Linked DNA regions of Mus musculus: all the other regions are reported to be linked to region 2. Evidence: microRNA targets listed by miRTarBase, many of them from high-throughput screens and not tested one by one. Region 2 holds a microRNA gene; each other region holds the end of a gene's coding sequence.
The links. Region 2 holds the annotated microRNA mmu-miR-1950 (UCUGCAUCUAAGGAUAUGGUCA, at 2,512-2,533, opposite strand). A microRNA usually pairs through its seed, bases 2 to 8, with sites in the 3' UTR of a target mRNA and lowers its output. Matches are read on the target gene's strand: a 7mer-m8 pairs with bases 2 to 8, a 7mer-A1 pairs with bases 2 to 7 and ends in A, and an 8mer does both.

Region 1: miRTarBase lists Colec12 as a target of mmu-miR-1950. Seed matches in the 3' UTR shown: 8mer at 3,347-3,354 and 7mer-A1 at 3,054-3,060.
Region 3: the mRNA of Tgm5 is a reported target of mmu-miR-1950. Seed matches in the 3' UTR shown: 7mer-A1 at 3,462-3,468.
Region 4: the mRNA of Rcan2 is a reported target of mmu-miR-1950. Seed matches in the 3' UTR shown: 7mer-m8 at 2,574-2,580.

What each region holds. Positions count from the first base shown.
Region 1 is chr18:9,876,676-9,880,841 of GRCm38, reverse strand. Colec12 (collectin sub-family member 12) reads right to left here. Exons shown (of 10, transcript NM_130449.2): 10 at 2,847-3,854. The coding sequence ends at 3,835. Among named protein-coding and RNA genes, the nearest start is that of Thoc1, 79 kb to the left of the region's middle.
Region 2 is chr19:34,963,769-34,967,934 of GRCm38, reverse strand. It overlaps Mir1950 (microRNA 1950), which reads right to left and starts at 2,539; the gene lies at 2,466-2,539. It overlaps Kif20b (kinesin family member 20B), which reads right to left. Exons shown (of 32, transcript NM_001362434.1): 26 at 1,712-1,888.
Region 3 is chr2:121,042,747-121,046,899 of GRCm38, forward strand. Tgm5 (transglutaminase 5) reads right to left here. Exons shown (of 13, transcript NM_028799.3): 12 at 3,935-4,068; 13 at 3,365-3,786. The coding sequence ends at 3,633. Among named protein-coding and RNA genes, the nearest start is that of Epb42, 7.9 kb to the left of the region's middle.
Region 4 is chr17:44,036,438-44,040,603 of GRCm38, forward strand. It overlaps Rcan2 (regulator of calcineurin 2), which reads left to right. Exons shown (of 5, transcript NM_207649.1): 5 at 536-3,079. The coding sequence ends at 696. Among named protein-coding and RNA genes, the nearest start is that of Gm34857, 5.2 kb to the right of the region's middle.

The DNA of each region.
Region 1 (4,166 bases), not on the chromosome of region 2:
TGCATTAGTTTCCATCACTACATACTCAACAAACGCAAGGTAGAAGAAGGAAAAGATTTTCTTTCATTTCATAGTTTTAGAGGCTTCAGAGGTCTCTTGCTCCTACTGCCTTGGGCTTATGGCAGTGGGAACAATGTGGTAGCAAAGGCCCATCTACCTTATTGTGGCCATGAAGTAAAGAGATAGAAAGACATTTTCCCAGTGACACAGTTCCCTCTCACAAGACCTCATCTCCCAGTGATGCCATAGGCTGGGGATCAAACATTTGTGTGTGACAGAAAGTAAATAAACCAATGAACCTGTGTTTTAACAAGTTTGTTTATAAAAACAGACTATCGGCCATATTTGCTGATTCCTAGTCTAGTGTGAGCATGTACCATATAAAGAACTTACTACAATCTTTCCCTTACAACCTCCCGTGTGTGGAATGTCCCTAGTGGGATTCAAGACATGCTTGTCAGCCTGTCTCTGACAAAGAAAAATTACTTCCTTGCTTTCTACCCAAGGTTCCATTTTTTCCTGGCATGGAACCAAGCCTGCTTTAATGGGAGCTACTACTCTATAAAGAACTGTTCCCTCACTTACCTGGGTCAAGTTATTAGGTGTCTGCAATGACTTAAAACTTGTTATTTCCTTAGCTGAACCAGGTACTTGAAAGATTTCTAAACAGAGAAAGGAACTAAGAGCATGACATGTATCTTTGGAGCCAGACACTGTAGTAGGTGATTTCTGCATATCACCTCATTAAAATTTGCAATGACTCTGTGAGACAGGTATAAGTATATCCAGTGTACATTTGGCAAATTCAAATATCACAGTTAATATACTTGCTTTTTTTTCTGTTTTTTAAAAAAGTTTGTTCATTTAAAAAAAATTAATCCTGACTGAACTTCCCACTCCCCCCATTCTTCTCACTCCCCCAGATCCACTCTTCCTGTTTCTCTTTAGAAAAGAGCAGTCCTCCCAGGAATATCCACTGAATATGGCATAACAAGATAAGTCTAGGAACAAACCCTTTAAAAAGATTTTTAAATTTTTTTACTTAGGTGTCTGTGTGTATCTGTGTGGGTGTATGACAGCTGTGTCATGGAGGCTTTTAGTTCCCTGGATCTGGAGTTGTAGAAAGTTGAAAGTTCTCCAACTTGGGTGCTGAAAACTGAACTCAGATCCTCTGTAAGAGCAGTAACTGAGGTTTGGTTACAGATCAGATTAAAGAAGAATTAAATATGAATAAAACAGTTCACTTTCATGTGTCATGTGGAAAGGCTTAAAAGTCTCTCTTTGTTGAGGTGGTTCACATGCTCAATTTATCCATTATGATTTGCTGTTGTCGTTAAGGACACCTTTGATTTCCCATGACATATGTACCTTGTCTAGTATAGAAATTAATAACTGAAGAGGTTAGGCAGGTCTTAAAATTTTAATTTCCTTTTCTTTTGGCTAAATATTACATCCTAGGGTTCCAAGCTTACCTGAAATGTTTATATGTGATCACTTCTCTGGAAGCTTACACTTTATAAGGGAAGAAAGAATATAGGTTGTAACCTCCTTCCAGCCTAGTCAGGCTGGCTCAGACCATCTGCCACTGAGGCAGAGCCACCTGCTGTGCTGCTTCTCATCCCTCTCCTTTGATGTGCCATTACCTGCTACCTGCCTGAGGCAGAACTGGTTTCCCAAGATCTTCCAGAGTTAACATTGAACTGTGATTTTCGAGAGTTCCTGCTAAAAGACTGATCTGACAACTTCACAAGAAACTTAGCTGGGAATGGGCCTCCCCTCTTCTTTATAAAGCGTGTTCTCTGACATTAAAGTTGAACCTTGATCAGAATATTGTCTTGGTTCCATTTCTCTCTCAACCTGCCTAGATTCCCTCTTTTCTTTCAGTTCCAAGATGCATCCCAGGCTCAAACCCAGACATGAGAGCCACAGGCCGGCCCCAACAATAGGTGACATGGGACAGGGGCTTGGACAACCTTCACCCTCTGCCTGAGCTATGAAACAGATGCAAAGACAGGAGTACACACAAGTCTTAGAATCACAAGGGAAGATTCTTTTCAGGGTTCAACAAATAACCAAAAGTTTACTTTTGCATTTCATTTAGCCCATGTCTTGGAGTTATGCTTTGAGAATTCTACTTTCCAAATGGCATGTAGCTGGTTTCTGTCTTGCAAGCATCACTTGGCTGCCTTTGTCTGATGTGACATTATAATCTCTTGCCTGCTCTGATATGAGTCTGACACTAAGCCTGTTTATAAATCAGCCTTAAACCAGGGCCTTGGAGACACCCAGATTCAGGTGCTCTGTCCGTCCCCACAGATGCTTCTCCATCATTCCAGATCCACAAAGTAGAACAAAAGCACATCCCAAGTCAACACTTCCTTTCCCTCTTTCTTTCTTTCTTTCTTTCTTTCTTTCTTTCTTTCTTTCTTTCTTTCTTTCTTTCTTTCTTTCTTTCTTTCTTTCTTCCTTTCTCTCTCTCTCTCTCTTTCTTTCTTTCTTTTTTTTTTCTTTTTTGGTTTTTCAAGACAGGGTTTCTCTGTGTAGCCCTGGCTGTCCTGGAACTCACTCTGTAGACCAGGCTGGTCTCGAACTCAGAAATCCGCCTGCCTCTGCCTCCCAAGTGCTGGGATTAAAGGCGTACACCACCACTTCCCAGCTTAACACTTCCTCTTACTGGAAGTGGCCAGTGCTGGGCTAGTGGCACAGCCTACTTGAATGAGCTGTCATGATGTTCTCAGGCTTGAGCTCCGCCATCACCAAAATGTACAAGGGCATTTCCAGATGCTTCATGTGATTCACGGTTCTGAAGAAATCACACAGACATAGACACATACAACAAAAATTTTCTTCAGCTGGACAGATTAAATCTGAAGAGAAACTCCATGAAATTTTATTAGTACCGCTATTATTATCTTTGGCTTTATGTATCATATAGGTACATTAAAAAAAGGAAAATGATTGTAAAAGGCAAATATTTTGTATAAAAATACGAAGTTTAAAAGCTCTTTAAGTATATTTCATATTATTACTAAAATGTGGCCTATATGTGTGCATCTGCATATTTTTCCTACATTTGGGATTTTAGAAACACACTGTTTACACAGAGCCAGTGTACTGGCTAGTTTTGTGTCAACTTGACACAGCTGGAGTTATCACAGAGAAAGGAGCTTCAGTTGAGGAAATGCCTCCATGAGATCTAACTGTAAGGCATTTTCTCAATTAGTGATCAAGGGGGAAAGGTCCCTTGTGGGTGGGACCATCCCTGGGCTGGTAGTCTTGGTTCTGTAAGAGAGCAGGCTGAGCAAGCCAGGGGAAGCAAGCCAGTAAAGAACATCCCTCCATGGCCTCTGCATCAGCTTCTGCTTCCTGATCTGCTTGAGTTCCAGTCCTGACTTCCTTTGGTGATGAACAGCAGTATGGAAGTGTAAGCCGAATAAACCCTTTCCTCCCCAACTTCCTTCTTGGTCATGATGTTTGTGCAGGAATAGAAACCCTGACTAAGACAGTCAGTAACTCAACAACCAATGATAGTCTTTTTCTGATTGGAGCATTCCATATTTGGAAAGATATACTTTGCATAAATTCTATGGTTAATGGCTGAGAAAATCTATGCGATTCAGTCCATTTGTACACTGGAAATCAATATATCAACTTGGGGGAGCATTTTAGCCCCCTAGTCCTTGGGTTATTGTGCAGTAGGTGTCCATTTATTTTGAATAACTACTTTTCAGAGCTTTTTCCATTCAATCTGGTGAGAAGTGATGGAATCAAAAACGAGCATTCTTCGGCTTTCAGAGGCATCAGAAAATATGTTTCTGCTATTATATCATGCTGTTATAATATGGATGATGGTACTGAAACAGAAAAAAAAGGATGGGCATTAGTTTTGTTTGAATAATAAAATTATTAACAACTTAAAACAGGAGGAATCTTTAGGAAAGAGCACAAATGGCATTATTGAAAGAAAAATGTTGGGAAGTTGTTTTTTTTTTGTTTTTGTTTTTTGTTTTTTCCAGATTAAGCAATGTGGAGCAAGCAGACCGTGCCACCAGACAGAAAAACTGGTAAGATTGAAGTAAGTTCAAAACCCCGGAGAATCTCAGAATTGAAAATGGTAGGTGTGGAACCAGTTTCCTGCCAAGCCAAGCTCTACCTGTTCTGGAATG
Region 2 (4,166 bases):
CGTATCTGAAAGATTGCACCCACGTGCCATTACTTGCGGTGTAACTGTCTAGTTAAATGTAGAGATCACTCTTAAGTGGGCATGGTGGTGAATGGTTGTGATCAGCATTCAGGATGCACAGGGGAATCATGTGCATGTGCATCATGTGCATGTTCAAGGTCACAGTAAGATTCTGCCTTTAAAAGCAAAAGGCAAAAAACAAGACAGGTGCCTCAGCAGGTAGAATCTCCTGGATTTCAGGTATCACAACCTGAATCCAATCTGTGGAACCCACAGTGGAAAGAAAGAACTGAGTCCTAAATGTTACCTTCTCACCTATGCAGTTGAGTATGGGCGTGTCTGCATGCCTTCTATTCTGTTCTATTTTCTTAACAAAGTGACAAGCTATGTTAAGCCTTAGCTGGAACTTTGAATCGCAATTTTGATAAAATGATTTTTGAAAAACTCGAGGTGGGTTAGCAGAATGGCTTAACAAGTGAAGGCACATGCCACCAAGCAAGCCATGTCAGACTGACACTGAGTTGGATTCTATAACCTACACAGTAGAGGACAAAAGTCAATTCCCTGTGTTTCTGCTCTGACTTCCAGAAACATGCTGCGGTCTATGTGTACACACACATACACACATACAAAATAAATATATGTAAAAATTAAAAATAAAGTAATGAACCTAGAGGCTGCTTAGTTAAGCAACCACAACATTAAGAATAGAAAAAGAGAAAATAGTAACTAAATCTTTTCTTACATGCCATTTTCCTTTAAGAAGGGGCTTATTCCAAAACACTACTTATGGGACTCATAAAGAAATACAACATGTTTTTAACTTAATAAACTCCAATATTTATCATAGCACAGCCATTCAAGTGTGCTCATGTCATCTCCCTAATATTGGCAAGTAACAGAGATTCTACATTGCATTCATATGGAGAGCGAGCAACTCCCAAGTGTTATAACTGTATGATGCTAAGAAGACAGTGTTCCCTATTTTATTGATGGAGATATCCTCACTATGCAGCCCTGCTAGGCCTGAAACCTGCTATGTAGACCAGGTTAGCCTTAAACTCACACAGATCTACTTCCATCTGTCTCCCAATCTTCAAATATGCCCCGATGGTTTATAAGGATGTGCTATCTATAAAAGACAAGCTCCCAGATTAGGATTTCCAACCCCAACTAAAAAAGTAATTGCTTTGCCAACTCCTGATGCCTCTTCATCACTATACTTACTTTTAAAATATTTTTTTATCTTTACATAATAAAATTAATGGTGGGCTAGAGTGGGTGCATTGGTGGTGATGCCTTTATTCCTAGTAGAGGCAGGTATATCTCAACAAGTTCCAGGACAGACAGAGCTATACTGAGACTGACCACCTCAAATTTTTAAAATTAAATTTAATTAAGAGTGGGTCTAATTCTATAAGACTCACCAAAACTTCATGCCGAACCACCTTTCTACATTTTTAAGATAGATTAAGATAATCCTAAATTATAGACTTTTAATTATTTAATCTGGGAAGTATGAAAAGTATCAAGACAAGTTGTTATATTCTAGACATTGACTAATCAGTAATAAACTCAAAAAAATAAAAAACCATGAAAATATACAAAATGCTATATATCCTTTCTGATATACTGAGTCTACACAGCTGAGAAGTAATTTTGAAAAGTAATTTTCAACAAGGAGATACAGAAAGAGCCGGCGTCCACTCACTGTCCCGGTGCTCTTTGCTGCAGCCTTTCTTAGTTCCTGGATTTCTTCATCCTTGTGCTTGCAGCTGGAGAGCAGAGCCTTCATCTGTGTCTCTACAGCTGTGACCAGCTGGTCACGCTCTTCTCTCCACTTCTGAAGCTCACTATTTTTCTCTGCCAGCTGTGCTGTCAGTGTTTCCTGGACAACAAGCACAAAGGATGCATACTGAAGTGTAATGACATAGGTATGAAACGTCAACATGGAACCCATTACCTTGTTTCCCAACCTAAAGAACTAACTGAAAAATCAAACATAAATCTTTGTAATCTAAGAATGTACTGAGATTTTATTAAATATAACACATGAATAATATATATATTACGCATTCATGTGTGAATGAAATGCTTATAAAATACAAAACACCATTTTATCTTTTAAGTATATTTGCCAGGAGCAGTGGTTCACACCTTTAATCCTAACACACAGTAGTCAGAGGCAAGTCGGTTCCAGGCTAGCCTGGTCTACACAAAGAGTTCTAGGCTTGCCAAAGCTAATTAGTGAGAACCTAACTCAAAAATAAATAAATTTCTATAAATCATATTTGTTCTTATACCACCTACAAAAAAATCAATTATTAGAAATTTCTTTCAATAAATAATAATTATAGTATTTATAATATTATTTCCAATATTTGAATAAAAAAATAAAACTATAGTAAAACAAATGACATACCTTATAGTAACTAAAAATAGGAAAATGAAGCAGAAAACTGGCTGCTTTTTCTGCATTTAAGGAGATGATCATGGAAAAAAACAATTAAATGACCATATCCTTAGATGCAGAAAAAGCATTTGGCCGGGCATGGTGGCGCACGCCTTTAATCCCAGCACTCGAGAGGCAGAGACAGGCGGATTTCTGAGTTCGAGGCCAGCCTGGTCTACAAAGTGATTTCCAGGACAGCCAGGGCTACAGAGAAACCACGTCTTGAAAAACCAAAAGAAAAAAAAAAAGCATTTGACAAAATACAACACCCCTTCATGTTAAAGGTATTGGAGATCAGGAATTCAAGGCCCATACCTAAACATGATAAAAGCAATTTACTGCAAACCAACAGCCAATATCAAATTAAATGGAGACATACTTGAGGCAATCTCACTAAAATCGGGGACAAGAAAAGGATTCCCACTCTCCCCATATCTATTCAATATAGTACTCAAAGTGTTAGCTAAATAAGACAACAAAAGGAGACCAAGGGGATACAAATTGGTAAAGAAGAAATAAAGGCATCACTATGTGCAGATGACATGATACTATACATAAGTGGCCCCAAAACTCTACCAGAGAAGTTCTCCAGCTAGTAAACAACTTCAGCAAAGTGGCTGGATAAAATAAATCAGTAGCCTTCCTTTATACAAAGGATAAACAGGCTGAGAAAGAAATTAGGGAAACAACTCCTTTCACAATAGCCACAATAATATAAAATATCTTGGGGTAACTCTAACCAAACAAGTGAAAGATCTTTATGACAATAACTTCAAGTCTATCAAGAAAGAAATTAAAGACCTCAGAAAATGGAGAGACCGCCCATGCTCATGGATTGGCAGCACCAACAGTAAAGATGGCCGTCCTACCAAAGGCAATCTACAGAGTCAGTGCAATCCCCATCAAAATCCCAACACATTCTTCAGACACTGAAAAAGCAATGCTCAAATTCATCTGGAAAGGCAAAAACAAAAACAAAAACAAAAGCAGAAAAAGAATAGTGAAAACAATTCTTAACAACAGAAGAATGGCTGGGGGAAATCACCATCCCTGACTTCAAGCTTAAATACTACAGAGCAATAGTGATTAAAAACTGCATGGTATTGTTACAGAGACAGACACATTGATCAATGGAATAGAACTAAAGACCCACAAATAAAACCACACACTTACAGGCACTTGATCTTTGACAAAGAAGACAAACATACAATGGAAAAAAGAAAGCATCTTCAATAAATGGTGCTGTGCTGGTATAACTGGCTGTCTGTATGTAGAAGAATGAAAATAGATCCATATTTGTCACCTTGCACAAATTGCGGTTGAATAAGGGAAAAGCTGGAAGAAGCTGAGGAGGAGGGCGACCGTGTAGGAGGACCAGCAGTCTCAATTAATCTGGATCCCCGAGATCTCTCAAACACTGGACCACCAACCAGGCAGCATACACCAGCTAATAAGAGGCCCCCAACACATATACAGCAGAGGACTGCCAGGTCTGGGTTTAGCCTGAGAAGCTATACCCCTCAAGAGACTGGAGGCCCCAGGAAGTTTAGAGGTCTGCTTGTGTGAGAGGTGTGGGGTGAAGGGTGAAGACATCCTCATGGAGACAGGGGCATGAGAAGGAGGTATGGGATGTGGAATGTGGAACAGTTGGAGGGTGGACCAGGAGGGGAATAAAATGTGGAGTTTAAGAAAGAGAGAGGGGCGGCGGGAGGGA
Region 3 (4,153 bases), not on the chromosome of region 2:
AGCAAGGATTGGCTGGGTCAAGATCTTTGGAGGAGCGTGCATAGAAATGATCTTGATCCCAGCTCCTGCCTTTCCATGGACATTTGCTGATTTATAGTTGGCAGGTAAATGTGTGGGAATCTGAGATCATCTGGCAGCCTCACAAAAATGGAGTTCTAGGCTCTCCAAGGGTGAAGGGTCCCAGTAAATACTTCACAATTTTGATTGGGGCCAAAAAGGGACTCCAGGAGAAAACAGTAAATAGGAGACAGAAAGCAATTTTATTTTATAATTTAAAAAATTATTTTATTTTAATAAATTAATTTCACAATGCGTGTGCAGTGCCCATGGAGGTCAGAGGAGGGCATCAGATCTGGAGTTAGTTGTGAGCTGGTAGTTAGTTGTGAGCTGCCGTATGGGTGCTGGGAACTGAACCCAGGTCCTCTGCAAGAACAGCCAATGCTCTTAACCACTGAGGCATCTCAGGTCCAGAAACCAGTTTTAAATCAGCCCCAATTACAATGCTTTACCCCCATTTGAACTGGCAGAGAGAATATTCTCTAGAGTAAATTAGCATCATCCAGAGCCTGAAGTTGAACACAGATCTCTCTCTCTCTCTCTCTCTCTCTCTCTCTCTCTCTCTCTCTCTCTCTCTCTCTCTCTCTCTCTCACACACACACACACACACACACATGCCCACAGATTCACTCATGTTCTCAGACTTAACAGTCCCTAGACACCTTGGCTAGTCCAGGCTCCTGGCCTGCCTCCCTTCAGGAAGCTCCTTGCTCTCATATGGTTAAAGAAAGCCAAGCCTCATCCTAGAGGAAGCAGGGGAACTCTGGGTTCTGATAACAACAGTTTGAAATCAAGTTATTCTTGTTATGCTTAGGGAAAAGCAGCCAGTCCCAAGCTGGATACTAGAAAATGAAGCCTCAGAGGTAGGTGTAGAGGTGTTACATATTGCATGTGAGTGCTCACCTGATGAAGAAAGGCTGGGAAATGGTTTAATTAAGCCAAAGATCAGAGAGCAGCAGAGCCTAGGCAACAAGGTTTAGCTGTTGCCACTGCCTGCCCTTCCCACACAGCCAGTCTCAGACTCTCTTGCTATAAATATGGTGAGAAAAAACAAGGGCTTCTACTACTTCCTTGGACTCTGTTAAAAATCTCCTTGGTAGTTGTGCTGGCTGGTTTTGTGTGTCAACTTGACACAAGCTGGAGTTATCACAGAGAAAGGAGCTTCAGGTGAGGAAATTCCTCCATGAGATCCAGCTGTAAGGCATTTTCTCAATTAGTGATTAAGAGGGGAGGGCCCATTGTGGATGGTGCTATACTTGGGCTGGTAGTCTTGGATTCTATAAGAAAGCAAACTGAGCAAGCCAGGGGAAGCAAGCCAGTAAGCAGCACTCTTCCATGACCTCTGCATCAGCTCCTGCTTTCTGCCCTGTATATGTTCCAGTCCTGACTTCCTTTGGTGATGAACAGCAATGTGAATGTGTAAGTTGAATAAACCCTTTCCTCCCCAACTTGCTCCTTGGTCATGATGTTTGTGCAGGAATAGAAGCCCTGACGAAGACAGTAGGTGAGAGGGCTCAGTGGGTAAAGGCACTTGCTGCCAAGTCTGATGACCTGAGTCATGTGGTAGAAGTTGTCAAGTTGTTCTCTGACTGCATGCTACGACATTCATGTGGCCATACATGCATGTTCACACACATGCATGTGTGCTCACGGAACACTCACTAAAAATAAATGTAAAAACGTTAAAATAAAAAAAATTAAAAGTCTTTAAAAATCTCCCACCTATTCCACATTCTTCAAATGCCTGTGCTTGAGCCCCTTGTGCACCCGCTCTGGTCCTTCGTGTATATACTCGGTGCCCGCTGCCTCAGGGCCTTCGTGTATGTACTCGGTGCCCGCTGCCTCAGGGCCTTCGTGTATATACTTGGTGCCCGCTGCCTCGGGGCCTTCGTGTATGTACTCGGTGCCCGCTGCCTCGGGGCCTTCGTGTATATACTCGGTGCCCACTGCCTCAGGGCCTTCGTGTATGTACTCAGTGCCCGCTGCCTCAGGGCCTTCGTGTATATACTCGGTGCCCGCTGCCTCAGGGCCTTGTGCCTGAAAGAAGAAACTCAGCCACTATTTGTTGAGGGAGCTGATGAATGTGGAGTTGACAACAGGACTCATGGACAAGCTTGAGAATGTGGCAGCTGAAGACTCCCAAGTACTTCAGAGTTCACTGACTCTCAGGTGTGCCACTCCACGGTGTTTTCCTTAAATGCTTTCTTATTCTTGTCATGTGGTAATTATAGGGTAAAGTAATTGTAGGTTACTTCCAGCTGTGCTGCCAGCTCCTGGTTCTCAGATACAGGACAATCGGCTTACAAGGTAATTCCCACCACACCCCTTCTCTGATTGAGATTAACGACATTGACCCTTTTTGTTTATGTGTAATGGAAGTCGTTAACTTCTATTTAATGACTGAACACTTACTAGGACCTCTGCCTCAGTCACAGTAGCCAGTGCCTGGAGGGCAGCATCCATCATGCCTTTCATTGGCAGTGGCCCGGGTAAACAGGTGCAAAGTTGCTCTGTGTGTAGCACCCTGAGAGGGCAGGGTTTGAGCGACCTTCAGTGTACGCTGAGACCAGAGGCTAGTTCATTCCCACCAAATATCTACCTCATTACATCATTCAGTTGGCTTTTACCTCCCGACTGCCAGCCAATGGCAGACCTGTAAGGACACAGTGAATTGGATGGAGACCCTGGGACTGAGAGTACTGAGCAATAATGTCAATGCTATACGGGAAGTATAGTTAAGGGAAGACCTGAGGGAGAGATCTGCCAGGATTTTATTTTACTCTCTTTTTGCCAAGAAACTGAGGCAGGACATGGGTATAAGAAACCTTGGGGATCTTTGCCCTTTGCCTACGTTGTGATGGGCACCTGCCAGGATGTCTATTTTCCCTGTTCCCTCTAGAATGAGGGCTCAGCATGCCAGGGCTTTTGCTTGTCTCTTATACTCAGAGTGGTATTGCTATACTCTGGACACTCAGTGAATACTTCTTGAATGAGTGGATGGGCTTAGACCTTGAAACAACAGGGAACTCATTAGCAACTGAAGGGCCATTGGAGCTCTGAAGGGAAAGTGAAGGGTGAGGGCAAGGAAGGGAATGGGGTTTGCCCATGCTGTGACATCGGCGCAGATACAAAGAGATAGAGAGCTGCTAAGCCTGTCTTCCCTTGACCTCTGTGCCAAATCACACTTCTGTAAGGTAGAATCCCTGGGTAGAGTCCCGACAAGTTGTGTAAACTAGCTATCTCTGGCATCTCCCTTGATGTTGATGACAGAGTTTGGTTAGGCCTTCATTTTAAAATCCATACTGCTGCCATATCTCGGAGTTTATTTTAAATGAAATTTTAAAAAATTTTAGATTTATTTATTTTCACTTTATGTGTATGAAAGTCGGGGTTTTTTTTTTTTTTCTGCATGCATGTATGTGCACCATGTATGCTGGTTGGATTCCCCTGAAAATGGGGTTACAGAGGATTGTGAGCCACCTTGTGGGTTCTGGAAAATTGAACCCAAGTCCTTTGCAAAGGACTGTCACATCCTGTCAACCGCTGAGCCATCTCTCCAGCCTCTGTCTCAGAGTTTATAAGCCAATGTCTACATACACGTTCTTGTAGCCCTTGATGTCTTTAAACCTATTGCTCCTCAGATTAGCTTGGATCTGCCTTTGGCCACTCTTGAAGGGGACGGTCTTCAGAGTGATGCTGGCTTTGTGATGGGGTTTGAGGACGCCAATGCTGCAAAGAGAGAGGAGAATGTCAGAAAACCCCTCTCCTTGTCAGTTCCTGGACTCTGTTTTCCAGCGTCCTGTGTCTGGCCTAGGGGCCTGATAATACGAAAGGGAGGAAACATTGAGAGGGAAGACAGAGTGCTCCCAGCACTTACAGAACTCTCTGCTGCTTTCTAAAGAGACCACTTCCTTCCAAGGTCAGCACACAGTCCTCAACCGGCTCTGAGAGCGGGTTTGAGAAGACCACCTGGACTGTGAGCGGCTGATTCACAAAGGCAGCTCCTAGAACCTAAGCAGAGACCCAGAGATTAGTCATCATCTCGAGTTCACTGAATGCTAATGCACATTGCTGGTTTGTAACGTCAGGATAAACC
Region 4 (4,166 bases), not on the chromosome of region 2:
TTATAGTTGTAAAGCTTGGTCTTCTTGTAGAACTCCTAACAGTGGGAGCAGGGGCTATCTCTGACTCTCTTGATCTTTTTCCTACTACTGAATTGCCTTGTTCAGCCTTAATTCGAGGGGAGGTGTCTAGTCTTATTTGACATGCTCTTTGGTTGATATCCATGGAAGGCCTGCCCTTTTCTGAAGAGAAATGGAGGGGTAGGTGGGGGAAATGCAGGGAGAGAGTGGGGGAGAGGAAACTGTGGTCAGGATGTAATATATGAGAAAATGAATTTAAAAACACCTTCAGCCAGGCTCATGCCTTTAATCCCAGCACTTAGGAAGCATAGGCAGGTTGATCTCTGTGATTGAGGCCAGGCTAGTCTGCAGAGTGAGTTAAAGGACAGCTGGAGCTACACAGAGAGACCCTGTCTCAAAACAGCAACAAAACAAAACAACAACAAACAACAACAAATAGACAAAAAAAAAAAAAACCCCAACCAACCAAACAACAAACCTCTGTCCCTTTTCTCAGCCAATGTCTCTTGCTTTTCAGGAGAGAAATATGAGCTGCACGCTGGAACTGAGTCTACACCGAGCGTCGTGGTGCATGTGTGTGACAGCGACATGGAGGAGGAGGAGGACCCAAAGACTTCCCCAAAGCCAAAAATCATCCAGACCCGGCGTCCCGGCCTGCCACCCTCCGTGTCCAACTGAGCACGTCCATGATAACATGCATCTCCTCTTATCATGCTTCCCGCCCCCCCCCTTGTTGTTTGTCCAAACAATTAATTGCCTTTAAGTCCCTGGGTGTTTGGTTGTTTGCGAATCCTTCCTTGTAATTAAGCCTCTCGGACAAAAGGGCTAGGCAAAGGTGATATGTCTCCCAATCAACTCCTACCCATTAACTACAATCCATCACTTAGAAAGTTCTAGATAGAGGGTAGTATTTTCTTATTAAATAATCAGTACAGCCCATATCTCTGTTCTTTCATGTTGATCCAAGCCAGAGACATCGGTAATGAAGAGCCTTTATGTTGTTTGTGAGCTGCTCCAGTTCAGTCCTGTGTGTGTGTGTGTGTGTGTGTGTGTGTGTGTGTGTGTGATGTTTTTTTCCTGGCCACTTATATAGGACCATAAGTAAACTTGGCTTTGACTGCATGAGATCCCCCTATCTGGTCTCACCCAGTCCTCTGCATCCCGACATTCCCAGGACATGCACGATCACCAGCATTGATTTTGATGATTTTGAGGGTATGCCCCAACTTGTGGTATCCCAGCCCTGTCCTGTATAGACAAGGGGCATCCGCAGCACCATTCAGCTCAATAAGTCTGGGAATCATTATTAGTTTGAGTCAATTACATCATATAACTCTGGCCAAATTCCTGGAGGTAAAATTGAGCATGGCCCCAAAGATGTTGAACATCACTACCACAGAGGTCTACCCAGTGTTACTGGGGAGGCTTGTCCAAGTGACAGAGACCGATTTCAGACAAACCTATTTATTATAAAATCTCATAGTGTCTGAATGACTGTCCCCTACCCCTTTGTATATTTGTACAGATGTTTGAGCTGTGCTTTTAAAATCTGGATGTTTTTTATTTAGTGATTGTTCAACCATTAGCTGCTTAATGACATCATACCTGTGTTGCTTCTGAATGCATTCTGATTCTAATGTAGATAACCTGATACTATTACATGCTATTGCGGTTCGTGCTAAGTTGTAAAAGGGAACAGCAATGTCTCATGCCAATAGATAACTGACTAGCCAACCTTTGCTGTCCAAACCACCTGTTTCCAAACAAAGATCCAAGTATCAGTTATAAGCAACTTGGGTGACGCTAAATCCAAGAAATGTATACAGCTGAGCATTTCAGAGCACAAAGGATGATGGGTAAACGGATGCCCTTCCCATTCATCCAATGCCCATGCGCTCAAAAGTTCCTTGTTTTTGTTATGTGTGACTTTTGTATATCTCTAGCCCAAAGTGCATTACAGAAGATACACCTGCAGAACCATACTTTCTGCTCCATGTGTCAAGCCTCATCTATTCCTGTTCATTAACTAGTAACTTTGGATGCAAATACCATTTACCACACAACAGGCAAGGACTTTCATGGCCTAAGCCTCGGAGTAACACACAAGAACACTAACACAGCCACCTGATGGGGGGATAATTGTGGTTTTTTGATTAAGGTGTATGTTAGTTTCCGCAGAAACTTCAAACCTAGACTGATCATTCAGAAAATTAAAAGTCCGTTCTACTGTGAAATATAGCAATATAGTGCCGGACACGGTACAGTACGATTGAGACCGAGGACAGTATTGCTTGTGGAATCCTAAGTTTCCATGGGGAAAACAAGTCGTCTTTTCAAAATCAGATCTGAGGAGTGTACACAGTAAGCAAAGGCTTTGACTTTCCTTTGTTGTGGAAGGTTTTGTTTTCTTTTTTTTAAATTGGCCATGGAAAGACTAGAAATAGTGGCGAGATGATGCCCTCTCGTGGCAGAAACAGTGAAATCGGTTGTATAGATGGATTGATTACAACAGTCAACTACCAGGGGCTGACCTTCTAATCCACATTAACTTTCAGGATGCAGGAGAGAGAGAGAGAGAGAGAGAGAGAGAGAGAGAGAGAGAGAGAGAGAGAAACAAAATGAAAGTCTGGGAAATAATTTGCGCTTCCAAACAATGATAGCAGAAATGTCTAATTTAGTAAAAGTTGAGTGTGACTACCTTGCATAGTCCTTAAGAACTCAGTGTTCTAGACGGCCCAGATGATTAGTCTTAGTAAACTGTATTGCCATCTGTTGACGTTAACCTGCTACAGATCAAGGGGTTCTCGCGCTAGATTGAGCATGGGGACGGGGGAGGGGGAGCTTTCCCCAGAAGGAATGGGGAAGCCACGGGACCTCCCAGCATCGAGAAAGTCACCTGGACACTTCCATGATGCTCATTATGCAAACCTCTTTAGCGCTCTTTTAAGTTTGAAACGTTTTTAAATGGAGGGGAAGGGGAAGGTTTCCACCAACTGAATCATTTGTGCACGTGTACAGCTCAAAGAGCTTAGAGTTCAAATATATCTGGTGAATGACTGTCTGTGTGGCATCATTTCTGACTTGTCTGCCTGGACTAAGGATCCCTGAGGCTGGGGAGGTGGGGGAGTGCAAGCCAGCTTGGAGTTTTCTGAAGGGTAACCAACGTATGGAGCTAACCCAATGATATTCTTCCTAATGAACTAGGAGGGAAGCTGGTAATAGCATTCCCATGAAGAAGTTATTTAAGCCAAGCCTGGAAAGATGGGTTGGCTTCTCATTAAGGGGGCTCAGAAGGTTATTTTACTGTCAAGTTCAACCATACTGATTCCAAAAGGCATTTCAAGTGTGCTAAGAACACCTTTTTAAAAATTAGATATTTTCTTCATTTGCATCCCAAATGCTATCCCGAAAGTCCTCTATACCTCCCCCCCCACCCTGCTCCCCAACCCACCCACTCCCACTTCCTGGCCCTGGCATTCCCCTGCACGGGGGCATATAAAGTTTGCAAGACCAAGGGGCCTCTCTTCCCAATGATGGCCGACTAGGCCATCTTCTGCTACATATGAAGCTAGAGCCACGAGCTCTGGGTGTACTGGCTATTCATATTGTTGTTCCACCTATGGGGTTGCAGACCCCTTCAGCTCCTTGGGTACTTTCTCTAGCTCCTCCATTGGGGTCCCTGTGTTCAGGACTAAGAACATTTTTTAACACCTTCCCACTATGTTCTTTAAAAACACTAACAGGAAGCCCTCTGATAGAGAGCCCTTAAACAATAAAAGAAATGCTCGTGAAATATAAAAGGTTTGCTTTCTGGAAATCATTAAGGTTAGAGCCGATACACATGGAGGAGTTAAATAACTCACAGCCAAGCAATGGTTCTCAACCTCTCTAACACTGCGACCCTTTAATACATGTCTTCATGTCTTGGTGACACCTAACCATAAAATTATTTTCATTGTTACTTCCTAAGTGTAATTTTGCTACTGTTATGAATCATAATATAAATATCTGTATTTTTCCAATGTTCTTTAGGGGGTCAAAACCCACAAGTTGAGAATTGCTGCTCTAAAAGCCAGTTGTAAAAGACATACAATACTTTCTTTTTGATGATTAACCTACATCGGGCAATTCACATAGATCCATGTGCC